Linked DNA regions of Lytechinus pictus. The protein of the gene in region 2 interacts with the protein of the main gene of each other region in a pairwise test. Links are inferred from orthologs where the notes say so. Each region holds a gene or a part of one and is shown on either strand. Other genes may lie near its edges.

The links.
Region 1: the proteins of phagosome assembly factor 1-like (region 2) and BCAS3 microtubule associated cell migration factor-like interact in binary tests that used the Homo sapiens proteins (3 or more experiments, as listed by UniProt). The link is inferred for Lytechinus pictus from reciprocal best matches to the Homo sapiens genes PHAF1 and BCAS3.
Region 3: the proteins of phagosome assembly factor 1-like (region 2) and ataxin-3-like interact in binary tests that used the Homo sapiens proteins (3 or more experiments, as listed by UniProt). The link is inferred for Lytechinus pictus from reciprocal best matches to the Homo sapiens genes PHAF1 and ATXN3.

What each region holds. Positions count from the first base shown.
Region 1 is NC_087246.1:3,616,756-3,627,849, reverse strand, and holds the start of BCAS3 microtubule associated cell migration factor-like, read left to right. Parts: upstream 1-6,524; 5' UTR 6,525-6,936; coding exon 6,937-7,004; intron 7,005-11,094. UniProt on the Homo sapiens protein: Plays a role in angiogenesis. Participates in the regulation of cell polarity and directional endothelial cell migration by mediating both the activation and recruitment of CDC42 and the reorganization of the actin cytoskeleton at the cell leading edge.
Region 2 is NC_087246.1:65,437,749-65,448,160, forward strand, and holds the start of phagosome assembly factor 1-like, read left to right. Parts: upstream 1-5,949; 5' UTR 5,950-6,219; intron 6,220-9,630; 5' UTR 9,631-9,761; coding exon 9,762-9,825; intron 9,826-10,412. UniProt on the Homo sapiens protein: Plays a regulatory role in autophagic activity. In complex with BCAS3, associates with the autophagosome formation site during both non-selective and selective autophagy.
Region 3 is NC_087251.1:48,006,191-48,016,561, forward strand, and holds the start of ataxin-3-like, read left to right. Parts: upstream 1-5,927; 5' UTR 5,928-6,465; coding exon 6,466-6,489; intron 6,490-10,371. Other genes in the region: serine/threonine-protein kinase Nek2-like, read right to left, coding at 512-607. UniProt on the Homo sapiens protein: Deubiquitinating enzyme involved in protein homeostasis maintenance, transcription, cytoskeleton regulation, myogenesis and degradation of misfolded chaperone substrates.

The DNA.
Region 1 (11,094 bases), about 62 Mb from region 2:
GTCATTTGAATACATTGACAGAATTTGACAGGTAAATTTGTTACAGGAAACCAGAATATTTATTTATGCAAGATTCAAACGTCACAAATAATTTGTGCAATACATAGACTATTTATTTATCTCATGCAAGTACATAAATGTAACTGCATATACAGATGCTTATTATTGTTTGTTTATATTTTTATGCTACAGATTGAACATGCTCGATGGTATGCTCGATGGTATGCTCGATGGTATGCTAGATGGTATGCCCAGATTGTATACTTGATGCATCGTATGATAACTGGAAATTCCGCGTCACCGAGTCTTTTGTTTGAGTACTGTCTACTGTCAAGTCACTAGTAGTTATACGTCACAAAGGGTATCTATTTCGCTAGGAAAATTACTTGTTTAGGGTCGAATTTGCGGCGATGATAAAACAAAATTAAAATGTTTTATAAAGGATGTCCTTTTTGCCCCAACACTTCGTGTTTATAGAGTCCGATTTGCGCGAGGTGTAGAAGGTGGGGTCGTACTAAACCAAATAAGGTAAGACGAAGACCGAAGGACCAGTGGCGTACCTAGGATTTTTCACAGGGGGGGCAAAATCAGCCGCCCAAAAAATTGACAAGCCAAAAAAAAAAAAAAAAAAAAAAGTCTTCAATAAAAAATAAAGGTTATTGTACCAGCAAAAATATTGACAAGCAAAAAAAAAAAGGTCTTCAAGGTCTCTGCCCCCCCTGCCCCCCCCCCCCCCCCCCCCGTAGGTACGCAATAAAACATTCCTGTACTTGTTTAGGGGTTCATTTCAGGAAATATTTGCCAAGAGTATCGTTTTATTTCCAATACTTGTTAAGGGTAGGGTTTTAGACGCCAATACTTGTTAAGGGGTGCATTTTCAGAATATGGAAATTACGTGTTTAGGGTGCTTTTCGAGACCCCATGGTCGCGCATGGTATCCACTCGTGAATGGAAGTGGCCCCCCCGGGCCAGCTGCCCGACTGATTTGATGCAGGACTCCGATGTCAATAATATACAAATAATGCATGCAGCCGAGTGCGTTAGTGGAAATGCAGAGCACGCGAGGTTTCTTTAGATAGGAGTCGTGCTGTGCACGAGCCGCTTGCGGCGAGTGCCCAGTGTGCTCCATCTGAAGAAACCGAGCTTTCTCTGCATTTACTTTTACGCACGACAGAGCAAGTGCATTATTTGTTTTATAAAATAGCAACACAGAAACAATTTTAAAAAAAGTTACAGTACAGTTTTGTTGGACTTTACCGCACTGGTTTGCTCGAGAGTGCAATGTCAATTTTCGTTGCACACCTTTTGCACTACCGTGCAGTGCACAAAAAAGTTGGATGTCATGTGACGCGTATTGACCAATCGCGATGCTTGAAATAATACAGCTATTTTATAAAACCAATTGTTTTCACTTTTCACCAAGCAGCACGGCGCATCGCATCGCACAATACATACCGCCGCAGTTTCATTGCCGACCTGCTCAGCTTCGTACATCAATCCCATAGACCTGTGTGTGCTCGATAACATGTTCTCTTTCCGCCTCTCAATTTCCATTTGCTTGCTCTGTAAATCGAATCCATAATCATTATTCGGGTCGTAGTCCGACGAATCTTTTCCAATATCCTCCCAGTCATTCCATGAACTTCCAGCTCCTCCACCTCCTGCTGATTCTTCATCAAAAAATGGATTTTTACCCGACATTTTGCGTAGTTTCCTTGCTTAGCTTTCTCTCCCCGAATGATTATTTATTATTGTAGACTTATTCCAGACTTAAAGAAGAAAGAAGAGATAAGTACCTGAGACAAATAACTTTGTTCATTTGAAATCAACTTTGTAACATTTTCTTTCCTTCAAAAAGATGGATATTTGATCATCCAAATGAATTATTCAATACATCAAATTAACTAAATTACGCATAAAATACACTTAATTGGATGACAAAACCAGGTTATTCTCTATTGAAATGACAGAAGAGAGGCTAGCTTTTGGCGTGTTCAACGTATGCGTACAGAGCGTGAGTCATATATAGTCGCGTCATAGCTAAACAGAAAACGTGACAGAGTAGGATAAAATGGGAAGATTGTGTATTATAAGAGTTCAAGGGGGCAAGGCCATTTTTTTCAGGGGCGTATTGCAGGGGTCAGTGGCCGGGGGGAGGGGAAGAGCCAAAAATTTCCCGCGGGGCCGTAGCCAGGATTTTCTATGAGGGGGTTCCGACTCTTATATAAGGAGTGAACTGTTTATTTTATGATCAGTTCCGTTTTTTCCCGGCGGGACGAATCCAGCTTTCGCGAATAGGGGAAGGGGGGGGGGGGGGATGGCAGAAAAAAATCATCTGCATTTTCCCCGATCGGTCGCTTGGATAAATAATGCAAGGACAAGCTCATTTTTAATATTACGGTATATGTATTTTGAAGAAAAAAAAGTTCAAAGCAATTTTGGTAATGGTGATCAAGATGGGTATATCAAAGTAACGCGGGCGCGAAGCGTGAGCTGAGATTTTTATATAGTATACTCGACCTGAAAACAGGAAGAGGGACCCATAAGGACTGTTTGCAGGGACTCGTGGAGAATGTACATATCTCACCAACCAAAATCATGCGAAAATGATGAATATGTTTGATATTCTGATGTGAAAACTTCACAGTCTAAGCATTTTTTTGTATACCAATAATCAGGATGTTATCTGAAGAAACAATTGATGCGAGCGAGAAGCGCGAGCTGAAATCTGCAATATACTGACCCGAAAACATGAGAAGGGACCTGTCTAGGACTGTTTGCAGTGATCATGCGGAGGATACATATCTTCACCAACCAAATAATGCAAGCGCGAATTAGCTTCAAATTCTAAGCACTTTTTTGTACTAATGATCAGGATGGGTATGCGCGAGCGCAAAGCGCGAGCTGAAATTCTTGATATTTCGTTCTGAAAAAAACTTGACACTTAACGGACGTTTTTAATAAAGAACAAGATATGTATCCAATAAACAATGTGAAACGTGGGCTTTTTTAGGTTTAAGTTAAAAAAAAAAGGACGTTCGATTCATTTTTTGTAATCATGAAAAGGATGGGTTTCTTGCTATAAAAGAAATAGTTCGAGCGTGAAGCGCGAGCTGAAAATTTATGATATTCCAATCTAAAATTTTGACATTATAAGCACGCTTTTACATAAAGAACGAGCTTCGTATCCCAATGAACAAATTAATGCTAGCGTGAAGATCGAGTTAATAAAGTTAAGCACTGTTTAATATCTAGTACCATTGTGAAGAGGATATTTTTAGTTACTATAAATGATGAAAGCGCGAAGCGTTAGCTGAATTTCGGTGAGGGATTTAGATCTAACAACGGGTTATTCTAAGCACCTTTTGTAATTACGAATGAGTATTTGACTAAACAATAATGCGAATGCAAAGCGCTGAAAATTATTGATAGGCTTATACTGATGTGAAAAGTGGACATTTTAATTCAGGAATGTGATACATATCTTGCTAATCAAATAACGGAGCGCATCGAGAGCTGACCATTTTTTTATATTCAGCACTTTTGTAATAATGAACAGGATGTATAATTGCGTAATTGCATATCTCACTGAAACAAAATTATGATACTCGAATCGCCTGCAGAATGTGTGCATATTTGACTTAAAAGCTCTTTTTTGGTGTTGGCATTGGCAGAAATCTGTCCCCAAAGGCAGAGGGGGACCAGGAGCTCGAAACTTTGACAAGCAAAAAAAAAGTTTTTCACTCAAAATTCACTCGATTGTGAATTATGTATTTTTCTCCATCATAAAAGACAAAAAATAGTATTTTATAGGACGTTTGATATTGTGTCCCCCTACTATTTTTGATAGGGGGACGCGTCCCCCTGCATGCCCACCCCCTGGGATTTCAGCCCATGAGTGTTGGCAAGCGGCGGGGTTCCGTGGAACCCAGGTTCCCCCCCCCCGCCCTTGGCTACGGCCCTGTCCTGGTCATAGGAAGGTATGAACAGGGTTTTTTAATGATTATGCGAGCGTTGTAATCGAGGGAGCGTAGCGACTATGAACAGTGAAAATTCTATCTTTAAACTTGGTGATGGCGAGTCCAGTGAGGATGGGGGCGTGGAGGCCCTTGAGTACCGATCATCATTAGGCCTATATAATGCTGATGATAATGCTTTTATTGCCAATAAAGTTTTTATTATTCACTCGAATTTTCGATGGGCCTCCGTCTTAATTCTTCAAGAGTTTACAATGTGGTATCAGATCAATCAGAGAGCGCATCCTCAGACATCAACATCTGTCTGAGGATGCGCTCTCTGATTGATCTGATACCACATTGTAAACTCCTAAATAAATAAATATATATATGTTATAAATTTACATAGACCTGCAAAAGAACTAACAAGGCCTAATGATGATCGGTACTCAGGGGCCCTCACACCCCATCCTCACTGGAAAAGGCCTATAGCTACGCGTCCCTCCAGCTATCACTAAATTTTGTCCCTATATGTTTAAAGTTATAATTTTCACTGTTTAAAGTCGCTACGCTCCCTCGCATAAATAAAACTATATGTTAAGAAATTTGAAATAAAAGCCACCCTACACCTCTGCTTTAACAAAATATCTTGTATTCATATGTTATTTGGGAAGTTCACCCTGCATGGCAAAACGTTAATAGGATTATAAAAAAATTGATTTTGATTTTTACGTCATATGCGAGCAGCTTTTTTACATATCGTATCGTATGATAAAAAAATCAATGAAATTTTCTCAGAAAATTGAAAATAGTTTTTACTGTACCTTTAGTAATTCAATACACAAAACAATTCACACCTGCTCCTAAATAAGAAAATGAAAAATTAGTCATCACGAACTATTATAAAATGAAATTTATGCAATTGGCAGTTTATCATATTATGCTCATTTATGACGTCACAAATCAAAAACTTGAAATTGTAATAACTCTCCTAATCTTCAAAGGATTTTTCTCAAACCTTCACCAATAGTTTCTACACCCTTTTCGTCAGGGTGAAATCCCCTTGAATGCTTCCGATAAAAGTGCTTATTGCTTTCAGAGACAACAAAATATCAACGCCTCGCTCTTGCATTATTTTGTTAAGAGAGATACAATTTATGTCGTGTTCATTTGTTTCTGCAAATATCCCTTTTAGGTCAGTATATCCAAAACATTCAGGACGCGCTTCGCGCTGGCATTATTTCTATACTATCCTACGGAGAATATGTCCCATGTTCACAATTCTCATTTTCACGCTTTGTCAAAAAAAAGGGCGAAAACAAACTGACCGGTGCGGAACATTTCTTATATATTTCTTTTGCATTTTTAGCCAGTTGAAATAAAACAGATACATTAAACATTTTCGTAACAACACTGCCACCCAAAATAGCATTTTAACCCTAGGTAAGCACAGCATTTACCTTTTTTTTTTGTTCCAGCTGGATCTGAGGACATATAATAATAAACAAAAGTTTATTTCAGACATCTACAGCATTTTTTTACTGTTTTTATCATATGACAATAATTAACAGAAGGAAAATCAAGCTTAAAAAGGAAACAGAATAAAAAGGTCAAAGATATTTTGAAATCAATCTTCCTAGCTTAGGCCATGCATGTGTTCTTCATGATTAACGTCTACTTTTATTCATATAACTATTTCCAAGTTCTCCGCAAATAATTTTTCACAAAATTTTCAAAAGTAAGTTTTGCTCACTCAACTTCGAAAAGATTTTTCGACAGCTATATTGTCATTTGCTTAAAGAGATCTTTACCAATGGTTAAATATTATCAGAAAAAAACTTAAGGATATTACAAAAATATATTATTTTACAGGATTATTGATAATTTTTTTGTTGTACGCACTGTATATTAACAAATTTCTGCAAAATGTCATTAACTAAAAACTGGACTAGACTATTTTGTTTGGGACATCATAATGGCCCCTTGAGATCTCTGGCGTCGACCGTGTCGTAGATGGGCAAGCATGTTGTCCCCGACCTTGTCTAGAAATTGTATAATAATGATTTTTTTCAATTAAACTTTTTATGCTAATTTGTGCGCCTTGTGAGACATATCTTTTCGCTGTTTTAACTCCCTACAGAGAGCTCCGATAATGTGAATTATGTTTGGTGTAGAAACCCTCTGTGGTGTCCCTAGAAAATATAACAACATCATCGTTGGAGTTAAGTAAAGTAAAGTAAAGTAAAGTAGAGTAAAGTAAAGTACAGTAAAGTATACTCTTGAAAAAAAAATGCAGATCATTGAATACCTTATGTAGCCAAGATGTGGGAGACTGGAGGGAAAAAAGTCACAAAACATCGTGGCGAAGGGTTTTCACGTTGCAAACATATTGTGCGAGACCGAGAGGGGCTTGGCTTTAGCCTAACGGGTCATAAAACGAATTGGAATAGACCAAGTGAATAATTGCACGAACTTTTTAGACCAAATAAATAGATCATCCTAGTGTCCCTGTATATACAGGGACACTAGATCATCCGATAATAACTCGCCCTCTACTGTTGAACTTTTGCATAATGATCTAATTTACATACAGACGACAACAAGGAGCTCATAACGTCATTCCTTCTCTGCCTACAAGATCCTAATTTTTCTTCACTGAGCTGGTTTTCTTGTTCGGAAATAGAAAAATGAGAAGTATGGTTAGATGAGAGAGGTTGCAAAGAATGCTATACCCAGTTTTCAAGTCTCAAGTGGCTGCAAACAAGGCGTCTGCACGTCGAATTTCAACAGTCGGTCGAGCCGATCCCTGCCTGATTCACGGCGCGTTGAGTTGTTCGTGATCTTGCACTGCACAGCGGAAAACAGCTGAGCTGAGCCCAAACAACAACAAACCGAAGGCCGAATAGGAGTCGGACAAGTCGAGGGTCAGGGATAGCAGCTGGTCCTGGGGCTGGGCTCGGGCTCGAATACAGTCAACAAAATGTCGTACGCCGAAGGTGCAAGACGAGTTCCGCGTGGAGGAAAGACAGTGAGGCCACAGCCTGTCAGGTTTGTGAACAAAACGTCGAGAACCTGGGCTGGGACACTCCTAGACCAAAAGCTTCGGTCTCTGTTATGTTGGTTGTTCAGCTGAACTCCGTTGGCTTCACTCACCAAATACAGAGACCGAAGTTCTAGCGCGATCTGTACAGGGGACTCAATGGCCATATGTTTATGTGTATTAAGTTCGGATAAAACAGGGCAGTGAAGTTGCGCGACAGCCGAGGTAAGTCACTGTTTTTGTTCCTTTTAACTTGATTTTCCCCGTTTTTTGGCAATTAATGCCAAGAGGGAATATTAATTTGCATTTCGGTCGCGTTAATTTTCAAAAGTTTGATTCATTAAAGACAAATATTGAAGAGCCCCGATGGGGGGATTTTGCATTGTAAGTCCCCTAATGGTGGCTGCACGATAGCGAGCCGTCTGTGTATGAGGAGAAATTAAAAAAATAAAAAAATGTTAAAAAACTCCTCGAAACAGACGGCTGCCAGCTGTCTAGGCCACTCCTAGTACCAATGAATGAGGTCCAACATTACATGTATGGACCTCATAGGCGACATCAGTAGTATTTTTGGTTAGAAATCTCTGAGAACAGGATATTTATATATTATATCACAAGTACAAGCTATAGTATATTCCTTTCTCTTATTTAAATTATAATTTTATAGTGTAAATGCATCGTTAGCAACAACAAAAAATGAAAGAAATGAAGGGGAACTTACATTTTCACGGCTTTTTCCTGATTTTCTGGGCAGCTGCTCTTCTCTTCTGACTTGCGATCGAAGCTGATATGAAGATCACGTGATTCGCGTTCTCGTCAGCTGATCGGTTGGTTATTCTTTTTGTCAGACGTTAATAATATATATTTTATAATGCTAGCATTCATCGCTAATTTAGGTGAAAGAGATTGAAGTTAAACAGCGCCAGGTCGGAATCATAATTATTTTGGAAGAGTTTATTTATACACTCGATCTCATACCTGACGTAGACGGCGCTATTCAACAAATGCACAATCTTCAATATAAAAAATAAAACAGAAAGAACGCCTTGAACACAGGCCAAAATGCCTAACGATTTCTCCGCGGCATTAACAACTATCGTAAAGGGCGCTCCATTTATCAATAAAGATGGATGCTAAGCTGTCTATGGCGACAAAATTTGCCGCAAATATTTACGAAGAATTGTGAGAAATGGTCTGAAAATGCAACAAAAGAACCGGTGAGTACCGATTAAACATTATCAATTTATTTAATAGAACATATTTAATGACTAAAATGTAACAATTTCTAGATAATATTGCTTAGTTCTAAGCTAGGGCGGCCCAAATGCGCGTGAGTGGAGTCCCAGTTTATTAGCACGGGTAAGTATTGGGGTGTCGCCTAGAGTGGGCTGGGCCTACCTCAGGCGATGTTCGTGCAGGCTCCACTCCACTTCACTACCGCTACACTACGCTCCACCTACCCGAACATCGGGACAGTGAACTAGATCGGATATTCCGAGTCATAAAAGGTGGGATGGCAATCATGGTTATCGTAAAAATTAAAGAAAAAAAATATTAAGAGGGATATGAATGACTTAATATCTTACTTTACACCCGTATTTCACTCCGTGTCCATCCTCCGGTTATCCTAAAAATTTGTGATTTTGGGCTAGTATCTTTTTCCTCACACGTATTATTCACGGCCGATTTCAAAACATCGCATGCGATCGGGTCGCTGATCGATCGCGATCGCATGCGATGTTTTGAAATCGGCCGTGAATAATACGTCACGTGAAGTGGAGTGGAGCCTGCACGAACATCGCCTGAGGTAGGCTGGGCCTGGCTAGACCTAACCCAGGGACAATGTTACAATTCATAACAAAAATGGCAGATCGAGACGGGGGTAGAAGGAGAGAACTTTTCGTTTTTTGAGGTTCCAGTCTGTGCCCAGATGTCAGGAAACTGCCACTCGTTAGACCTTCATCCATATAATCGTGGTAAGTGCATAATTTCTGTTTTCACAATTCATTTGGAAAAATATTTAGACCATAAATTACCCTAGTCCCGTGAGTATGGTAAAATACACGGTAAGCCCCTGGGCTCCCGCCCGCTGCGCGGGTGGGAGCTCCCTGGATTAGGCTAGACCAAAAGCTTCGGTCATGTCGGTCTCTGTTATGTTGGTTGTTCCACTGAACTACGTTGGCTCCACTCACCAAATACAGAGACCGAAGTTCTAGCGCGATCTGTACAGGGGACTCAATGGCCACATGTTTATGTATTCAAGCTCGGATAAAACGGGGAAGTGAAGTTGCGCGACAGCTGAAGACTGTTTTTCCCCTTTTATTAAGTTTATTTTTTCCCCGATTTGGTGCATTTCAGGCCGAAACAAAATAATAATCTCTATTTTGGTTCAATTCTTTTTCAATATTTTTATGAAATAAAGACAAAAATCGATGTGCCCCGTCGGGGGGATTTTGCATTGTTCACCCCCTAATGGTGGCTGCACGACAGCGAGCCGTCTGTGTACGAGGAGAAATTTAAAAAAAAAAAAATGTTGAAAAACTCTTCAAAACAGACGGCTGCCAGCTGTCTAGGGCCTGGCTAGCCAGGTCCAGGAGGCTTCTAATGTTAGAGTCTTCGAGTTCGAGAGTACTAAATGCTTACTCTCCACAAAGCCAGGAATTCCTTCCTATTCATCTGCACGTACCGCCCAAAAACCTGAAACTTTTGCCCCCTAGTCATTTCTACTTTTCTTCTAAAAGATCTAGCCCTAAATCATGTAAATGGGATATAACTTCATTTTTGACATTTCTACGCTATCGATTTCATTTTAAACAAGAATTCATCAAAAAAATGAGAAAAATATGAAAAGACGGAAGAGACTTGCCCAATGTTTACGCCGCCATCTTGTTTCTTATTGAATATTGTTCTTCCCCAATGTTACGGACACGTAGAAATGTCGGAAATTAAGTTATATCCCATTTACATGATTTAGGGCTAGATCTTTTTTTAGAAGGAAAGTAGAAAGCTCGGGGGCGAAAGTTTCAGGTTTTTGGTCGGTACGTGCAGATGAATAGCAAGGAATTCCTGGCTTCGTGGAGGGTAAGCATACGTTAGTAAATGATTTTTACTCTCTAGAAGCCTCCTGGCTAGCCCTGGCATAATTAGATTATACAGCTGGCAGCCGTCTGCTTCGTCCTTCGATATGTTCGAGGAGTTTTTTAACATTTTTTTAAATTTTTCCTCGTACACAGATGGCTCGCGATCGTGCAGCCGCCATTAGGGGGTTAAAAATGCAAAATCCCCCCGACGAGGCTCACCTACATGTATTTTTGTCTTTATTTCATTAAAATATATGAGAACTGGACCAAAATAAAGATTATTCCGTTTTGACCTGAAATGCACCAAAACGGGAAAAAATAAACTTAACAGGACAAAAATCAGTGACTTACTTCAGCTGTCGCGCAACTTCACTTCCCTGGTTTATCCGAGCTTAATACATAAATATATGGCCATTGAGTCCCTGTACAGATCGAGTTACAACTTCGGTCTCTGTAATTGGTGAGTGGAGCCAACAGAGTTCAGCGAAACAACCAATAAAACAGAGTACGAAGCTTTTGGTCTTAATGTTGTAAATCGGATCAAAAATCAGATCGAAAATCGGATCGGCAGTTAAGCTTCTAAAATCGAAATCGAATCGAAAATCGAATCGGCGATGTTTAAAAACAAAGGAATACATCAAAATGTTGTTCGCGGTCGCGCGCATCTTCCTGACAAAGTCACAAAGACGAATGCATTGGAATGGAAGTCGCCAACATGCGCGATCGTTTGGAACATGTTTTAAAGCCAGGGGTTTTGAGGTGTTATTGCTTTAAAATAAACCGAGTGATTTTTATTAGAAAGATAAACGAAAGACGCATCTTCCGAGCAAAGGCGCAAAGGAAAATAAAATGAAAATATTTCTCATAGATCACAGGTTAATGAACGATCGGCGGGACATCTTTCAGAAGTATTTTTAGGTGCTAGCGATTTAGAATTATTGGAATGATCTCTTACGACGCATCATCTTAAAGTCGCAAGTGCAATTAAAATGAAGTAGACGACGCAAGCACGCACGAT
Region 2 (10,412 bases):
AATATAAAAAAAAAACATTGATATTTTATGATCCTTATTCTGAGTTTCCAAAATAACGCATAACAATGCTGGCTACATGTTTGTTTCTTACTTCAAAATTGTTTATTATAGTTGGATTTATATGGATTTTGTACTGTTCTGTCTGAAATGAGAAAGAGTTAAAACTATAATACTGCCATTCTCATCAAATCACAAAAGCAAACAGTAATTTCCTCTCTGCCTGTTATGTATTGAAACGGTATATGACGACATATGTTTTTCTTTTAGACTGTCAGAGTCAAATTATCACTAATAATGAAAATGTATATCAAATGACTGTCTTTATTCTCTCTCATTCATGATTGGGATAATAATGCTCCAAACTTTAATGCAATTATGGCTGAATTTACATTTTATTTAATTCCGTTCATTTCGTTTTATTTCCATATCCAACAAAATGGTGTATATACGTAATGCAATGTAAACACTAGAGCCCAATAAATAATCGTATAATGTTCACTAGTCACGATACGTCCGTCACAGAATGGATACCAAATTTTATGATCATTGACTACTTTGGTCTTTCCGTTAATGCACACAATCATTATTTGATACTGCAGCGATGGGTGTACATGCATAGGAAGATCCAGGGGGGCCAAACTGCCCACTCCCTCTTTTTGGCGGTGTAAAAAAAAAAGAAGAGGAAGAAAGGGGGAAAATAAAACGAAGAATAATGGAACGAGAGGAGTGACAAAAGAAAATAAAAGCATAAGAAAGAATCAGTGCTTAAAAGGTTCCTTTTCGGGTCATAAAAAAACCCACTCGCGCTTCGGGCTAGCATTGTTAAAGGGATGGTCCGGGCTGAAAATATTTTTATCTTAATACATAGAGTAGAATTCACTGAGCAAAATGCCGAAAATTTCATCAAAATCGGATAACAAAATTAATAATAAAGTTATTGAAGTTTAAAATTTAACAATATATAGTGGAAACAGTCGTCATGAATATTCATTAGGTGGGCTGATGATGTCACATCCCCACTTTCCGTTTTCTTATGTTATTACATAAAATCATAATTTTTTCATTATTTCATACTTGTGTGAATAATATGTTTCCCTTATAATGAAATAAGTTGCAGCAATAAATATCTAATGCACTAAATCAGTTGTCAATCCAATTTTTCTAGTTCTTGGTGGAAAAGCTTGAATAAACCTAATTTCATATAATAAAATACAAAAGAACAAGTGGAGATGTGACATCATCAGCCCACCTAATGAATATTTAGTCATGACGACTGTTTGCACAAAATATTACTAAAGTTTTAAATTCAATAACTTTGTTATTTGTTATCCGATTTTGATGAAATTTTTTATTTTGCTTAGTGAATTCTACTCTATTTATTAAGCTGTAAATACTTTCTGCCCGGACCATCCCTTTAATTATGATACACAGCTTTTTCTTTATTAATAAATCTGCTGAACATGTCTAAAAAAATCAACTCGCGCTTCGCGCTCGCTCGTATTATTTGATTGTTGGAATATGTACATGTTTAGTTGAGTATTTTTGTGGCATTAATGGAGGAAAAACACAAAAATTCAACGTTTATAGTTTCCACCCTTGGTGTATTGTTCCATACGTCGACATCTATTCTGACTCTTGCTCTGACACACCGGATATTTGTCACATATATATATATTTAGATATATATATATATATATATATATATATATATATATATATATATGTATATATATATATATATATATATATATTCGGGTTTAGGTCAATATTTGTCCTGAGACCCAAACGTTAATTCAGGGTATGTAACCCGATATGACACAGAAAGGGTCAAATGATTATGAACTGGAAATGGTCACATCATTGACCTTACTTCTTTTCAGTTTTTTGAAACGGGGTGGATAAAGATCTGAAAATAAATCATGAGTATTAAAGCATAATGGTTAGTCGATCGCGTGCATTTGAGAGTCCGAAAGTCCACTCACCGCGCTTCAAAACAGGGGAAATATGTCGGGTATCTTTATAATTATTGATAACCTCATACCTGATTGGTTGGATTATGAAAATTTAATTCATTTCCATTAATTTGATGTAAATGTTATTTAGATTCAGTATTCACGTTTCGCTATTCATTTGAAAGAACACAAAAAGGCCCAATTTTTAACCACTTACAGGGCAACATGCTGTCCACGAACCATTGGTTAAAATATGTCCAAATTGGGTCATAAAAACAAGTAATTGGGTAATGAATTTGCTCAATTGGATAATAATTGCCCAGAATATAATGTTTTTACCAACATACACAACCCAACACAGTGGACAGTATATGTTGCCCAACATTTTAAATGCTCACAACTTTTGCTATGGCAATCGGTCCGTATTTTCGAGACACTGGCACCTTAATTTGTTTTCCCACTGAAATATCAAGAAGGTATCAAGAGGGTCAAGAAGGTCGAGATAGTTTGCTGAATAGATTACCTACATGTTGATATATAATACTATGTGACTAGTAATGGTCACATTTCATTATTCTCTTGAACTCTGAGATCGCAAGCAGCAGAAACTGGCATATTTCATTAATTGTAAAAATAGCAGAATAAATAATAAAACAATCTTGCCTAAGGTTTTAGAAAAATCCATCAAGGAATAAAAGAGTTATTAGGATTTCAATTATTTGATCGTGACGTCATATGCGAGCAGCTTCCCTACATATCGAATGGTAAAACCAAAACTTACTGCGGGTGATCCTTTGCCATTCAGTTCTACCCTGGTCTACGTCTTCAGCATCCAGTAGGGGGAAGTCCCACATCACTTCTGACTTGGTCCCTCTATCTGGAAGGAGGACGTCCTAGTAAAAAAAAATCGTTTAAAAAATTCAATGAAATGAATATTTTTCAGAAAATTGAAAATGGTTTTCAGATTTATTTCAACACCCGTTTCTAAAAAGAAAACAAAAATAAGTCATCACAATCCACTAAAATTGAAATTTATGCATTTCATATAACAAAACATATGGGTAGCTGCATGCTCGTTTATGACGTCACAAATCCAAAACTTTAAATTCTAATAACTTTCTTAATCTTTAATGGATTTTCCTCAAACCATCCCCTATATCTTTTTTTGCTATTTTTACGACAAACTTTTCTTCAGGGTGAACTTCCCCTTTAATACAGTCCAAACAAAATCAGTTGACAGTAACAATGTTCTTGTGCTATAAAGCTTTGCGTACTGAAAATTATAATATAGCTCCAGTTTGAGAAAGCCAATATTTATAGTAGTATCCAGTCCGGAATTGATTTTGATTTGAACTTGGGTCTGCGTACGTATAGTAACTAGCAGTCTAGCATCGTCTATACGTAAACTAAATGAGCGAATATGACTTAATCCAGAATTTGACTGGTCTCAAACCTAATGCTAAATGTCGGATAAATATCCGACAAACCCTTTCATAAAACATTCCCCTGATTTAATATCTATACAAGTTTTATAAAGTGTACACACCTCAGAATTGTGGAAAAGACATTGTACAACAAACTCACCCCCCCCCCAATTTTTTTCTTTTCAAATCATGGAGCGTTCGGCAAAATTTCTTAGAAGTTCCGAGAGAGTGAAGGGAGCGAGCAAAAACTTTGGCCTTTGAAAAATGAGAATCTAACTTTGTGATAGATTTTGACGTGATTTTCAGAATATGACATTTTATATTTTCCTCATTTATCCTCTTCTTTTCTTTTATAATTCCCCTCCAATTCTTTTTTCCCTTTGTCATGTTTGTCGTGGAACTTTTTTTGTGGGGGGGGGGGGGCATGGCCCCAAGCGCCTCCCTTTCATCTGTACGCCAGTGAATTTAAACACTACTATAATAAGTCATTCAAATCTCCATTAATTAGGGAAACAAATGCACGACTCACCTGATAATAAGATTATCTTGAGCAGCAAGATCCTTTTAAAATAAGTTTTAATTGATTGGCCTATATACGATGAGGTGGCGCTATATACTCATCTTCGGGAGCTTACGTGTACGTAGAATGGTATCTCTGTCATGTCTGTGCATCTATTGAACTGCGTCCATTATAATTTTGACACGAAATAGGCACTTTAATTTGATACGCCCCTAACAAACATGCATGCAGGGTGGCCGATAAAGCATTGCGATGAATGGAGTTTCCGGGGAACCTCTTTTAGTTACCAGGGCTTTTTTTAGTATTTCGGGGGCTAAATCGCCCCAGCCCCCAGGCGCGGTTCTAGATTAAAAGGTTTTTTTTTTTTTTTTTTTTTTTTTTTTTGGGGGGGGGGGGGGGCTTCTGGGGGCTTGATAAATTTTCGACGTTGGTTTATTCCATACAATGAAAATAGCCTATTGTGGGTAGCCTTATACTGATCAAGTACCTAGTCCCCTCTCCCCCATAAGAAATATTTATAATATCATGCGAGGGAGCGTAGCGACCGAACGAAAAAAAAAATCTCATTTTCAAAATGCATGTGAATTTTTCATCTATATCATGCATCAGGGCCTGATTGGTGTTATAGATGTAGAAAATTTTTGACATTGTCTTTACCCCCTCTCGCCGGCATGGATCGACACTCCTGATTCTTAACTATAGTGTTTTAAATAAGTTTAGCCTCATTTTGGGTGATTTCAAGTTCAGTGTTGACCTTTTGGTGTTGGTGTTATGTCAATTTTACACGAGTATAACACCAAACATAAAATGAAGATGTCCTGAAAAGTCACTCACTAGAGAGCATTAATATATGCTGCATAATTATTTAGATGTTATTTTGCGAAGGAGCGTTATAGGGCCCACATATATATCTTTTTTTTTTCTTTGTGGTCGAAAACTTTCTGGGGGGCTTGAGCGAATGTTTTTTTTTTTTTTTTTTTTTTTTTTTTTGGGGGGGGGGCTTCAGTCCCAATACCCACCCCCTTAAAACCGCGCCTGCCAGCCCCCGTGTGTTTCCCTGGATTGATGTAATGTCGCCTTGCTCATAATTAGAGTGAGCTCATCAAGTGAGGAAAAGAAGGCACTCTCTTAATTGTACTGACACTGATAGAAGGGTAATTAATGTTTTTATGTTGATATATCTGTCTGCGTCCATATATTCTATAAATAGCACAGCGAAGAATAACAAGTAGGCCTACCTTCGTCCTATTCCTAAAATAAAACATGCATGGGTGAATCGTAAATTGAATTTATGAATATAGTATACAAAGAATAATCCCTCGGGTCTGCAAGACGACCCGTCTTTTTGTATTTTTGCAATAACAGGGCGCCCTAGCTGGGAACGAATTTTCGAACATGGGGTGCTGATGTATAAATTTGACAAGCAAAAAAAAAGAAAAAAAAAAGAAAAGATTTTACTACGAAATGACGGTCATTTTGTCCCGAGAATTTTGACAAGCAAAAAAAAAAGGGTTTCACTACAAAATGAAGGTAATTTTGGTCAAGAGATATTTGACAAGCACAAAAAAGGGCCGGTTTCACTACGAAAATGAAGATCAAGTTGGTCCCATAAAATTAAAAAAGGAGGGGGTAGTAGGTTCTTCCTTTTGTTAACATAATTCGGGTGCTGCTTATGGAGAATAACCTTGAGAATAACACACGCAACAAACCCCCCCCCCCCCCCCGAAAGTTGAGGTGTATATGCTTCAGTATATTCCCCAGCAACCCCGCTTTAATTATTCGGACTTTATCAGGAATCACCGGGAACCATATCTATCTATCTATCCACTTATTTTTTATATTACATTCTCTTCTCTTCAGTCTCCATATTTCTTAATTTTCGTCTGTTCTATTATTCTCATTCCCATTGTACTTGCCTCTTTTGTCCGTGCGCCGCAAGAAGATAATTTATGTCATTATGTACATGTAGTCTGAAAGACAGAACTCATATTGTTGTGAATTAGTGAGACTATATTCGCTCATAAAATGTGGCTAAATTCTACCAGATACACGTACACACAGAGAATCGGAGTATATTTTCAGCCTTATATCTTACATTTTTTGTTATTACTGTTTAAGTGTAGATTCTCAGTCTGTGCTTGCAGACTAGTCATAAACCTTTCTGTAAATGCGACTGGCGCATTAGGCTAGCAAGCTGTACTGGGGTTGTAAACACTGAAACGGAAATCCGCAACGAATTCTTAATCTTATGAATTTACCTTTGACAAGCAAAAACTACATGTGTTTGAGTCAATATTTCCTTATTAAAGTACGTTCGGCGGAGGTGAGTTAAATGGATGCCCACTGATTGAATTTTAGCGTATTTCTGTTCATTTGATCATGGTGTATTTTTGCAATGGCAATGACATGTTTTGATGGTTGAGGCTTGAGCGCAAAGTCAGCTCAGCGACAGCGTACCGCGGAGGTTATTTGTGTTTTGTCGTTCGACTTGCAATTGCATGTAAAATTCAGCTCCTTGGTAAAATGTAAACAACCGAGTGAGATCTACAGTAACTGTAATTCTTAGGGGTGTTTCACAAAGAGTTTAACTGTGCACTAGTTCAAGTCATGCTGGTTTGTGTCTCATGATCATCAAACTTAATAATATAAAATATAATACTAGTTAATACGATCTGGCCCAAATAAATTTTGTGACTCATTCAATACAACAACAATGATGAACAAGGACACCAAGGCAAGCCCAAGGCCAAGGTTGATACATCCTTGTTCTTAGACCGATAAGCTCCCCTGAGACTTCGTCTGGCGCCGCGGCATCCCCTCCGTCAATAAATAGATCGATGACGGCCATTGGGCTTGTAATGGTGGAGCAAATTCGCAAACAACCGCCGCTTAACAACATGAACAACATCGATCGTCTGTGGAGAAGGTTGTGCTTTTGCACCCTCCTCAATTAGAATTGTAGATCTATATAGTCTTTTAAATTTATCCTTAGATCTAGTATTATTTCTTCCTCTTTCCCCTTTCAAAAAACACGATTCAGGAGTAATTGAGGAGGTTGCGAAAGTGCACCCTTTCTCCATAGACGCTGTAGTTAAGGGACGGTTGTTTGCTCCACCATTACGAGCCCAATGGCCGTCATCTGTGTAGGAGGAGGACAAAAAAATTAGAAAATGTTGAAAAACTCCTCCGAACCAGCGGATTTATCAGTCTACTATGTTCTCTGTTAAGGCTTGGTCCCACTGCACTTATGGATGCAGAGAGGATGTAAAACAGAAAAGAATCTTTTCTGCAAAGTGTATACAATAGAAACGTTATATATATCCATTGTGTAGGGGAAGGCGGTGTAAGTTGTGACACTTTTTGCTATTTGCATGTTAGAATTGATATGACTAATTATATTGTCGAAATAAGTACCTTGCCTTTAAATTTGATTCTTGGGAAATATTTTTCACCTCCTATATAACTTTCTACCCCCCACACTGAAATTCATTGTGACCTTTGAAAAAAAACAATGTCAAATATGGCTCAACTTGCCCCATCTGTGGGGTAAGTTGAGCCACAAAAACTACGTCCAAAATGTATGCGGGAAGAACCAGCATGTAATCTTTTTATTTCAAGTCTTTTCACTTGCTAATTCTCTATAACATCCTCTAAAAGTAAAAGAACTGTCATGTGAATTTGCACCTTTCTGCCTGCATATCAATGGCTTTTCAAGGTTTTTTTTTTATTATTATACATTACAATAAGAATTACCATGGCTCAACTTGCCCCATGTTGGCTGGCTCAACTTGCCCCATGTTGGCTGGCTCAAAGTACCCCAGTCCGAAATTAATGCGATATTTTCACATCCACACATTTTTTATGCATCCATCATGTAAAAGACTATATGACAAGAATGAGATTCATACCTGGACTAACAATATTGTTCTTATTTCTTTATCATATTTAAAGACGTCTGTGGGTAAAAAGCACTGATCTATTTTACACCCTTTTTTACTTTTTTGGCTGAAATTTGTATTTTTCCCTCTAAAAAAGTACTTTTTGTTTCAAAGTCGAAAACGATGTGGTGGGGTAAAGGGTTATGTAATGTGTCATCAATACATGACACCACCACAATGTCTGACTCATTCATTATTGGCCTGAGGGTGGTGGCTCAACTTGCCCCTATGCTCAACTTGCCCCGCCTTCCCCTACTCTTTGCATACTTGTTTGATACGCATTATATCCATCAAGCATCCGTCCACTGTGATTTCATTGTTCGCCCAATCCCATTTTGTCCATTGTCTGGAGCGAATGAAAACGGATGGAGCCAGCCCGAAAGTTTGCTTGTCCGCTATATCCATCATGAATACATTTTGTGTCCGTTGGCCAGTGGGACCAGGCCTTTTTGCCTTTAAGTAAGTGTTACTACTTACTCCCTGTGTGGTGAAATAACGTTGACAATGTTTGGCTTATTTTCTCTTGTTCTAGGGGACAAATGCTTGATTTTTTGACACTGTCAGTTTCCATTATAGCTATTCGTCATATAACGTGACTCTTAAGTAAATTGAGTTTTTCTAATTATTTAAAAAAAATAGAGATTGAAAAATGGCAATTTTCTTTCAATTTTACTTTCCACCAATAGAGGGCTTACATAAAAATATGCCAAAAATTCAAGATTTTGAGTGCTCTGGTGAATACAAAAATAATCCCCAGGTTACTAATGAAAAATTAATTGCAACTGTATGGAAATTAGTGTTTTTGGTTACAAAACTGATATCTTAATGAACTTTGTAAGTGTAGGATGCTCTTTACTGCATTGGCATTCCATAGATCTACATGTATATGTAGATTCCCCACAGGCAGGGTGGTTGCAGTGCACATGTGCCTAGGATCTAATGTAGATCTAACAAGCAAATTAAAAAAAAACTAATTCACAACAATATGCAAAAAAATAACAGAAATTAGGGTCTAACGTTAGATCTACAACTTTTTTGGTTGTAGATCTAACATTCGAGTCTACACAGTGAAAGAAACTCCTTAAATGTGAAATGTTAGTTAGGTTCCTGACTGTCTGTCACTGCTGTTTAAGAGTGGACAGCATCCACGAGAATCGTCCAGATAAAGCTTAATTAAGGCACCCTAAGGCCTAGACCAAAAGCTTCAGTCTTTGTTCCGCTTAACTATGTTGGCTCAGTAACATGTCAGATATTGTTGAATAATTCCCCAGAAACGACGGTTATTCCTGTCTACATAAGGCCTAGGTCTAAACAAGGATTAAAGGGCAGGCGGCTAGGTACATGTAAACGGCTGAAATTCATCTGTTTGGAGGAGTTTTAAACATTTAAAAAAATACTTTTTATGCAGGAGGTATAGATCTAATGAAGCAAGCTGTAGTCCAGTGGAACAACCAGAGACTGAAGCCTTTGGTCTAGCCGCGAGGCAGACAGCTCAAATCTGTCTGCTTGGAGGGGTGTTTAAACATTTTTTACTGTATTACTTTCTCCTCCTATAACGGAAATACCAACGAAACAGAGACTGCAGGCCATTGGAATTAAGGAGGCTCTTCCTCAGTTTTGGTGTTTTTGACACTCAATTCGCATTAAGTGCCTACCAGCGAAAGCACCCCTTTTTGTGTTTTTTTCTTGTTGATGCTGTCCACTGTCCAATAGCAGTGACCCCCCCTGGCTCCGAGCTTTGTTATTGTATGCTGAGCATGCAGTTGCAAATATTCTTATTTTATTTTCATTTTCAGGGATTCATGTAGACCAGGAGATGAATAATCTCATCTTCATTACACTTAACATCAGCCCCGACGTCAATCTCTGAGTCTAAGCAGGTCGAGGGACAAGCAGAGAAAATAAGAGAGATCATATCAGACTAGTCATGTTAGATGTAGAGGTTGTACCTGGTCGTTCCCTTGGCAGTGAACAATGGGAGTTTGTCCTGGGTAAGTTTGTCGGTTTTTTATTTAATTTCTGAGTATTTAGTTCTTATTCTCACACTTATTGTATTCGCTGAGCAAAACTTGAGGGGAAAATTGCAACGTGAATTCATCCATAATTTTATATTACAAAATCCATCCTAATTAATGAAAAAAAATGTGTTTTCAGTTATTCAAACCTGAGGCTTAGATTTCTTGTCATGTCAGGGTCGAGAAAGAACACTGCAAAAAAAAAAAAGAATTGATTGAATATAGATTGTAATATGCCATGCAAAATGCCATCCTCAAACTTTCAAAAAGATATTTTTGTGAAATGAAATGAAATTGTTCTTAAACTGGATAATTTTATTTATGTGGCAAAAATAAATTAAGCTCAATGTGTTCCAATTACCTATCTTCTAATGCACCTAAGAAAATCAATGGAATGAATTTGCAACCTCTTTAAAATGTCAGGGGGAAATCCAAGAAAATTTGGAGGCTCTTATTAGATATGACTGTCACACTCATGACACTCCAGAATTTTGATATATTTAATTCCAATACACAAGTGTATTAAATATTTCTATATTTTTAGAACTTTACTATCATTTTAT
Region 3 (10,371 bases), on a different chromosome or scaffold from region 2:
TCAATTTATTTAATAGAACATACTTAATGACTACAATGTAACAATTTCTAGATAATATTGCTTAGTTCTAAGCTAGGGAGGCCCAAACGCGCGTGAGCGGAGTCCCACTTTATTAGCACGGGTAAGTATTGCGGTGTCGCCTAGAGTGGTAAATCATAAATGGGGATTACAGTAAAATGTCAGAAATTGTTGAATAAATCCCCAGAAACGACGGTTATTCCTGTCTATACTGTACGTAGGCTTACTCTCCATGAAGCCTGAGACGAGATGCCATAGGCCCACACATACCGAGTATTTTAGAGACAACAATGTTGTCTAGTCAGTGCAGCCAGAGCTAAGCGACCTTCGCCGCATCGCAGGCTCGCTCGCGATCGTCCCGCCGCAGGTAGCCTAGTACCATACCGGTATCCTCCCCACCACACACTATTTAAATGCCCGCCAAGCGCAAGGCGCAAGCAAGAACTTAGAAGCCGAGCCTCGGCTCGAGCCGAGAATAAAAAAGTTTACTTACCTTTCCGTCGCTTTTCCGACGTACTTTTCTGCATTTCCCGTAAGAGCCACTCCCGATCGTATAAAGAATATCATAATCGCTCAATTTTGAAGGCATCTTGGCGTTTGAATGCCACGATTGTAAAAAAATGTGTGGTCGATGGTCGTCCGTGGTTAAGGTTGTCGATCATGAAATATCATGCACGCACAATATTTTGAATTCACGCCAGCTGATTGACATTGTTTTTGATTGGGTAAGCTTGCGAAGTGAGCAGCCTATTATTGGTAGCAAATAATGCGTGGCCAATTTGATAAGTGGAGCACAATTTGGGAAGAGAACTTTGTACCAGAAAAAAATATATATTGGTGAAGGTTTGATGGAAATCCATAAAAAAATTAAGAAAGTCATAAGAATTTTAAGTTTTAGATTTTTACGTCATATACGAGCAGCTGCCCCGTATTTTTTTAATTTCAATCTTTTAATGGTTCATGATGATTAAACTTTTTTTTTTCTTTTAGGAGCGGCCTTGTGAAATAATTATTGTCTATATTGATATACTAAAGGTGACCAAAAAAAATGAAAGTGACAAGCCATTGTTTTTTTACAAAAAATATGGGGAAGCTTATGCATGTAAATAAAAGTTTGTTTGCTTGTTTGCTTGCATTTATTTCTGCGTTCAAAAACACAATACAAAAATATTTACAATTACAATATACAAAATAATTCACAATATAAACAATGTAGTCATATTACATGATAAATACAAATAAGAGTGTGAGTATAAATTAATCTTTTATAAATGTAAACATATATATATAATGTAATAAATGAACGCAGGAGACCACCATCGTGAGCGGTTAGGCTTGAATTGATGGCGGCCTCATAAAAAGATTCGTGACTTAGATTGATATTTACTGGTCAAGTGGGTGCATTGCAGGTGCAGGTGCTGTATAGCAGTTGAGTAAAATCAGAATGTTAAATAGCGAATGTGGATATTTGAGTGAATGTTTTAATTTGGAGCGAGGGGTTGATAAGATTGAATGATAGTTTTCTTTAGAGTGGCTTTTAATGAGTATATGGTAGAACAAGTTTTAATATTGTTTGGAAGATCATTCCAAATGTCTGGACCATGATGTCGAATTGATTTAGAGGCAATTAACAGTCTGGGGTTAGAGAGATGAAAGTTTCCGGATATGCGCGTTGGGTAAGTATGGACAGAACTATTAAATTTAAACATGTTATCAAAAGACGAAGGGAGCAGATTGTTAATATATTTAAACATAATTATAGCTATTTGAATAGTATATAAGTCGGCAATTTTTAATGTCTTTTGTTTAAAAAATAAAGGATCGGTGTGAGCCAAATAATGCGATCCTGTACAAATGCGAATTGCTCTTTTTTGTAATTTAGAAATAGAAGTAAGTTTTGTGGAACCACAATTAGCCCAAACAACGTTACAATATGTTATATACGGGAGTATTAACGAATTATACAATAGAAGTAAAGTTTTATGAGGTAAAATAAATTTCAACTTGGAAATTATTCCAATATTTCTCGAGATACATATAATGATATGGTGCAGATGTTCATTCCAAGACAAAGCTTGATCTATGATGACGCCTAAAAATCTAGAGTGAGTCTTCCGCTCTAATGGTGTACCGTCAATCTGTAAGTGAATTGGAGTATCGGTAATATGAGAATGTTTAAAATGGATGAAGTGGGTCTTTTTTTAGTTCAAGGATAGTTCGTTTGCTTTAAACCACTGTGAAACTTTAATCAATTCAAGATTTAATATGTTATTTAGGGAAGTTATATTTTTATGAGAAAAAAAGATATTTGTGTCGTCAGCAAATAATACAAATGATAAAATAGAAGATGTGTTGATAATATCATTGACATATAATAAAAATAAAAGCGGGCCTAGAATGGAGCCTTGAGGGACACCACATTGAACTGAAAGTGAACTAGAATCGTTGCCATTAAATGTGACATATTGTTTTCGATTTATTAAATAATCTTTAAACCAAAGGAGTGATTGACCTCGTATACCATAATAATTAAGTTTTGAAAGTAAAATATTATGATTAAGTGTATCGAACGCCTTACTGAGGTCACAAAATATACCAATGACATGCTCTTTGTTAGCTATGGCGTTTGTTATTTTATCGTAAATTTGAATTAAAGCCAAGTTTGTTGAATAATTTTTTCTGAAGCCATATTGATTAGAAATTAATAAATTGTGTTTGTTGATAAATTCATAAAGTCTATTATATACTATTTTCTCGAGGATTTTGGATATACTAGGGAGTAGAGATATAGGGCGATAATTGCTTATTTCATGAGGATTGTCTTTTTTAAAAATTGGATTGACTTTGGCGATTTTGAATAAGTCAGGAAATATACCTTGTGATAGAGATTTATTAAAAACATGACTAAGAGGGTTTGCAAGCGGGTGAATTATTTCTTTTAAAAGAGACATACTAATTTTATCATGCCCATGAGATTTTGAGCTATTAAGAGACCTTGTAATGTTGAGAATTTCTGTGGGGTTCGTAGGGTTCAAGAAAAATGAATGTGGATTAGGTTCGGGGAGATAATCCGTGAAATGCGCATTTTGGCTATTGATCTTGCTTGCAAGTTCGGGTCCGATATTTGTGAAAAATGAATTGAATGAGTTTGCGTGAAGGGAAGAGTCAACTTTGGTACCATTTAAAGTGATATTATCGGTAGGTGGGGGATCTGCATTTGTTCCCATTACTTCTTTGATGATTTTCCAGGTAGTATAAGTATTTGAACTGGCATCTTTTATTCTATTAGTATAATACATTTTACGTGATAAACGAATTAATTTTGTTAACTTGTTGCGATATACTTTGTATTTTTTTAAATTGGCTTCAGTAGGATTGCGTAAATGTGACTTGTAAAGGCAATTACGTGTCTGTATCGATTTTAATAAACCTTTTGTTATCCAGGGTTGTTTGGGTGTTTTTCGATTATTTTTTACCTTTCCTATGGGAATATTCTTTTCATAATAATGTTGTAATTTATTATTTAGGAGATTATACGATGTGTTTGCGTCAGTTTCATTATAGACATCCTCCCACCCCTCAAGTAATAAGTCTTGCTTCATTAATTCAATATTACGTTTAGATTCTTTTCGATATGAGCGTTGGTTAAATGATAAATAACTTGTAATCTTTGATGGATTTCCTAAAACCTTCAACAATTTTTTTAAATGCTATTTTTATAATAAATTTCCCCGAACTTCCCCTTTAAGTAGTGAATTAGTATACTACTATGCGAGTGTGATCTTTCAGAACATACATGAGCTAGATGATCAGTTCAATTTCAACGACGAGAGTGGGGGGGGGGGGGAGAAGCTCGAAGCGGAGTTGAAAAGTAAGTGGAAAATGGACCATCGTCATAACCATCTTATCGTCATCAGTCATTATCATCTTCATCTTTTTCATCATCGTCACCCGTCATGATATCACCATCTACATCATCATCATCATCGTCATCGTCACATCATCATCACCATCATGCCTCATCCCCCTCGTCATTAAAGTACAATTACTTTAAAGGTTAAGTCCACCTCAGAAAAATGTTGATTTGAATCAATAGAGAAAAATCAGACAAGCATGATGCTGAAATTTTCATCAAAATCAGATGTAAAATAAGAAAGTTATGACATTTTAAATTTTCGCTTATTTTCACAAAATAGTTACATGCACAGATTTAGTCATATGTAAATGAAAGACTCGACAATGTCCCTCACTCACTATTTCTTTTGTCTTTTATTGTTTGAATTGTACAATATTGCTAAATTTACAGATTTGAGTCATTTGACAATAAAGACCAACTTTACTGAACCATGAAATGTAAAAAAATGGCAATTCCACGTGTTCGATCAGGGCGAAAGAAAACTTTGTTTCACAGGACAATGAGGACAAAAAATAGATCTACAATGTTTCATATTTCATATAATAAAATACAAAAGAAAATGAGTGAGCGAGTGATGTCATCAGTTCCCTCATTTGCATACCAACCGGGATGTGCATATAAATATTTTGTGAAATTTATGGGCGAAACTTAAAAATGTCATAAGGCTTTTTTTATTTTACATCTGATTTTGATGTAATTTTCAGTGTTGTGCTTGTTGGATTTTTCTCTTTTTATTCAAATCCACATTTTGTTGTGGTGGACTTGTCCTTTAACGTTGAACTAAATATCAATAAAATTTAGTCACAGAGTGATACAACTTGCCCAGAGACAGTGTGCATGCACTGATATTCCTCTTTTAACTTTCAGTTTTACTTGCACCATCCCGGCCTCCTTCCCTCCTTCCTCTGCCTCCCTTTACCTCACTTTTATAATTTTATTATTTACTATTAAGTTTGAATATTATTTTCTCTTAATTTTGTAGTCGCGTATCGCTTATTTGCTAAGGGCTAATCCAGTATTTTCCAAGGGGAGGGGGCACATTTTTCAAAGGAATTAAAATTTGACAAGCAAAAAAAAAATAAAACAACAACAAAAAAAGGTTGTCACTAAAATTTGAAAGTCATTATTTCCTGCTTACACTTTGACAAGCAAACAAAAGAAGCCCTGATCACTTGTGTATGAACGACATATTTCCATGAAAAATATTTGCTGTGACCGCAAGGGGGTGGGGCACACTTGTACATGAACGACACATTGAAAATATTGACTATATGACTCTCAAGGGGGGGGGGGGCACGTCGGCACGGAAACGCCCCCCATGGATCTGTCACTGCACTGATGTTCTATAGTGTTTGTTTATAAGCTCGTCCAGTCCGCCCCCTAATGAATGTATACGTATGAAACTATTCTTGTATTTTGTTGAACGGAAAATAAATAAATCTAATCATCATCATCACATCATCATCATATCATCATCATCATCATCATCATATCATCCTCATCATCATATCATCATCATCATCATATCATCCTCATCATCATATCATCATCATCATCATCATCATCACCATCATCATCATCGTCGTCACCATCACCCATCATTATCATAATAGCTTCGGGGCGGCGGGAAGCTAGGGGCAGGGGCGGATCCAGGATTTTCCAAAATGGGGAGACAAATTTTTTTTTGGGAAATTTTTTTTTTGACAAGCCCGCGCCCCCCCCCCCCAAAAAAAAGGTTTTCAACTACAAATTAAGGATATTTCGTACCCGATCAATTTGACAAGCAAAAAAAAATAAAAAATAAAAAATTCAAAAGAGGGGGCACACCATAGCACTTTTACATGACAAATTTTTAATTTTGCTTCTCAAAGGGGGGGGGGGGGGGGGCACGTGCCCCCCCCCCCCCTGGATCCGCGCCTGGCTAGGGGCACCGGGGCAAGCTAAATACGAACCGTAGCTAGCTAATGATTTTTCAAGTAGGCCCTATACGTCTGTTGAACACAGAGTAGGGAGAAAAAGCAAAGAGTATAAAAAAACAGTAAGCGAATTAAATGAGAGTACCCGGTATATCAAAAGCATGGAAAAGAGCGGTCGCGGTCTGTGTCGTATAAATTCGAATTGATATAAAAATGTAAATCATTACAGAGGTATAGATCTTTTCAACAGCAACGCAAAGCATAATCGCGTCGTTGACTTTACGGATGGCAACTCGCCTACAAATAAAAATATTACCCACGGAACTCGCACAGCAGCACCGGCACCACGGCTGGGGTTTCTCAAGCTACCTTTCCAATTCCGCGCCGGGGAGCTGCCGGCGTGCGGCGCTGATGAAGTGCGGTGGCGCAGCGTCTTGTAGCGAGCTGCTAGTCCGTAATAACTAACTTCACGTCTAGCTACATGAGAGAGCTCGAGAGATGAGCTGCTAGATTTAATTTAGATCTAGGCTAGATCTACTAGGAATAGGGATCTGTCAACTCTATCACTAGGACGAATAGGAGTCGAGTCTTAAGCCAGACGAGGCCGAGCTGAGGATGGATTCTATCTTCCATGAAAAGGTACCGAATTAGTTTTTGTTAGAAAGATAAGATAAGATTTTAATTTTTTATTAAACTCTATCGACCCTAACCCAGAGAGCTCCAGCCCGCGTAGCGGGCTGGAGCCCAGACGCTCAGTGTGCAAACGGGCATTCAGGTGAGAGTACCGTGAAGTTTGGTCAAAATAATTTTGATAATACATAATTAAAACAGAAATTAAGCACTTACCACGATTGTATGGATGATAGTCTAACGAGTGGCAGTTTCCTGACATCGAGGCACAGACTGGAACCTCAAAAAACGATCAGTTCTGTCGCGGTGGCTCTCCTTCTTTCAAAATTCATAGCAAAATGGCCGTTCGAGAGGGTGTAGGGCGCATGCGCGAATTTGACAAAGTCTATATGCGCTAGTGCTATACTAGCCCTCGATCGGCCATTTTGTGTTGAATTCTGAAAGAGGAGAGCTACCGCGACAGAACTGATCGTTTTTTGAGGTTCCAGTCTGTGCCTCGATGTCAGGAAACTGCCACTCGTTAGACTATCATCCATACAATCGTGGTAAGTGCTTAATTTCTGTTTTAATTATGTATTATCAAAATTATTTTGACCAAACTTCACGGTACTCTCACCTGAATGCCCGTTTGCACACTGAGCGTCTGGGCTCCAGCCCGCTACGCGGGCTGGAGCTCTCTGGGTTATATCGACCCTAGCCTAGGGCCTAGTAGTATAAAACTAGTAGTAAAGTATAAACCCAGCGCCAGCCCAGGGAGCTCCGGCCCGCGACCGTGCAAAACGAGGGAGACAATCGGTTAGATTGGGGACTCAATAGTAATCTTAATAAAATATGGAAGCAGAAATTATGCATTTACCACGATTATATGGATGAAGGTCAGGTCTATCGAGACACACAAATCCTGACATTGAGGCACAGACTGGAACCTAAAAAAAAAACAAAATATATAATAGCCTCGGTCTCGATTAGCCTGCCCTGGCCCTGGAGGCTTCTTGGGAGTAAAAGTCTTTCTACTCAACGTAGACTTACTTATTTAGCCTGGAGGCTCCTGGAGAGTAAAAATCAGTCTACTATACGAAGGCTTACTCCCCATGGAGCCTGGAATTGCTTCCCATATGGCTACACTCCTACAGTACAAATACCGTCCCAAAACCTGAAAGTGAAACTTTCGCCCCCGAGATTTCTACTATCCCTCTAAAAGATCTAGGCCTAGCCCTAAATCATGTACATGGGGTACAACTTCATTTTCGACATTTCTACGATATTGATTTCATTTTTAAACAAGAATTCATTAAAAAAACGAGAAAAATGTTATGAAAAGACGGGAAGAGCTTACGGCGGTGTTTACGTCGCCATCTTGATTTCTTTGTCTTTCGCTTTGAAGTGAAGTTTGGGCACCCAATCATACAAAGACTCCTCGGAAAGACACCTCAAAGTCAATAAAGTCTCTAGCCTAGGCCTACGTTAGACTCCAGGGGCCCGTTTCTCAACAAATGGACAAGTTAGTCATATCTTTATCCACCAACCACGGAGTTAGTTCCAATCTTACTAAACCTGTTTCTCGAAAGGCTTCCTAACTAGAATACCTTGATATCGATACTATCGGTAAAAAGAGCAGACGAGACGTAGCCTTAGTCACAAAATAGCATAATTTTCAAAAAGAAAAATTATGACATAATTGCAAATATTATGATGAATTGGGAAATAAGTCTTTTCAAAATAGTAGCACAGGTGAATTTAGACCAAAAGCTTCAGTCTCTGTATTTTGGTTGTTCCGCTGAACTACGTTGGCTCCACTCACCATACATAGACTGAAGGGGATGGGGCCCCGTACCTACAGCCAACGTATAGTGAACTAGCGTTTTATAGATCGCGATTTAAAACTGTTTTTTAAGCAAAATTGAAAGTTTCATGGTTTCCATTATCAGGGAAATATAAATAATTTAAGTAATTGCATACCTTGGGCCGGAGTTATTGAAAAAAATCCTCTGGATGATTGAGAAATCTGTCATCTAAGACATTTTCACCTGACCTGACGGTTTTTCTTGCAAGTTGCCATCTTGAATGACGTAATTATCGTTATTAACTTAATGTCTCGAATCGATATATCGCGATTATAACTAGTACTAGTACTAGTATAACTAGTATCGTTTATCTTCGGTTTCGTTCGCATATGGAGCAGATCGTATAATATCGAAAGCAATATCGATATCACATTCGTGATTGTTGACGTTCGTTTGTAAATATTTTATAGTTTGGCTGCCATTTTGACCATTTTTATCGTGTTCAACCCAATTAAACATCGGTAAAGTATATTTTTCATGCCTTTTTCATCTATATCGTTTAAAGTATTCAAACATTTAAATATTAAGTTTTAAAAGTTTGTTGTTTATACATCCTTAGATTGTAAATTCGATGTGTAAAATTACATCAAACTTTGGACTGTGAATTGACAAAAGGGAGGGAATGAGAACACATGCGAGCCCACACGTACACCCTACCGTCGGTAAATGGGGATTACAGTAAAATGTCAGAAATTGTTGAATAAATCCCCAGAAACGACGGTTATTCCTGTCTAAGGTGAATTATGCATCATACATACTTAAACCATGAAGACTGGAGCATTCAATTGCAGAGAAAATTAAATTATGAATAATTCATTTCATGACTAAAAAATCACTTGTGGACGTTGAGATGGGTACCCCCGAAAGACCCAATTTTAATAGTTTACGAAAGTAAACCATAACGGTTTTCTTTGCAAAATGATGATAATTATACGGACTTTTACGATTCCAAACGTCATCAAAATATATTTTAACGAAACATTTTTAATCATTGATACCGAAAGATACGATATTAGACAAATTATATGCAGAAATTAGTGATAGAATTCATCCAACTGTTAATAGGGGTCTGAAAACAACAAATACGAGTTCAGTTATGGATGGCCTGACGTGGTAGAATCTTTATCGATTAAATCATTTTACTATTTCAAAATGAATGGTTTTGTGGCGTTTACCAACAGTTTTTATAGTTTCTTTGTATTACAATTATCATTGAATGCATCAACCCACTTGTTTTGTGATGTAATTTCAACCTATATGATTGATTACGTAAGATTATAATTTATAAATTTCTAGGCACTTTCGCATGTCATAGTCTACCCACGTGATGCCACTACGTCATTAAGAAAGAAGTTACGACAGGTTCGGAGGTGTCATAAATATTTAGTGAGGTTGTTGTACCCGATCTTGGTAAAGAGGGCTTCGTGAAACGGTTAGCGGACAAGTAGCTCACTATCTCCGATTTAGTCAAGAAGTTAGACTTATGACGGTGTTGAGAAACGGGCCCCAGGCGTATGTCCAGCGTAAGGTGACCAGATCAGGGCAGTCAAATTACGGGACACTTTGAAGTAAATATGTCGACAAGGGCCCGTTTCTAAACATATCTAAAACATTCTAGCCTATTCTAACCATTTTTGTCTCGCCTGCATAGCAGAGCGAGACTATAGGCGCCGCTTTTCCGACGGCGGCGGCGGCGGCGTCAACATCAAATCTTAACCTAAGGTTAAGTTTTTGAAATGACATCATAACTTAGAAAGTATATGGACCTAGTTCATGAAACTTGGACATAAGGTTGATCAAGTATTACTGAACATCCTGCCTGAGTTTCAGGTCACATGACCAAGGTCAAAGGTCATTTAGGGTCAATGAACTTAGACCATGTTGGGAAAATTATTTTCAAAATCTTAACCGAAGGTTAAGTTTTTGAAATGACATCATAACTTAGAAATTATATGGACCTAGTTCATAAAACTTGAGCATAAGGTTAATCAAGTATTAGTGAACATCCTGGTCGAGTTTCAGGTCACGTGATCAAGGTCAAAGGTCA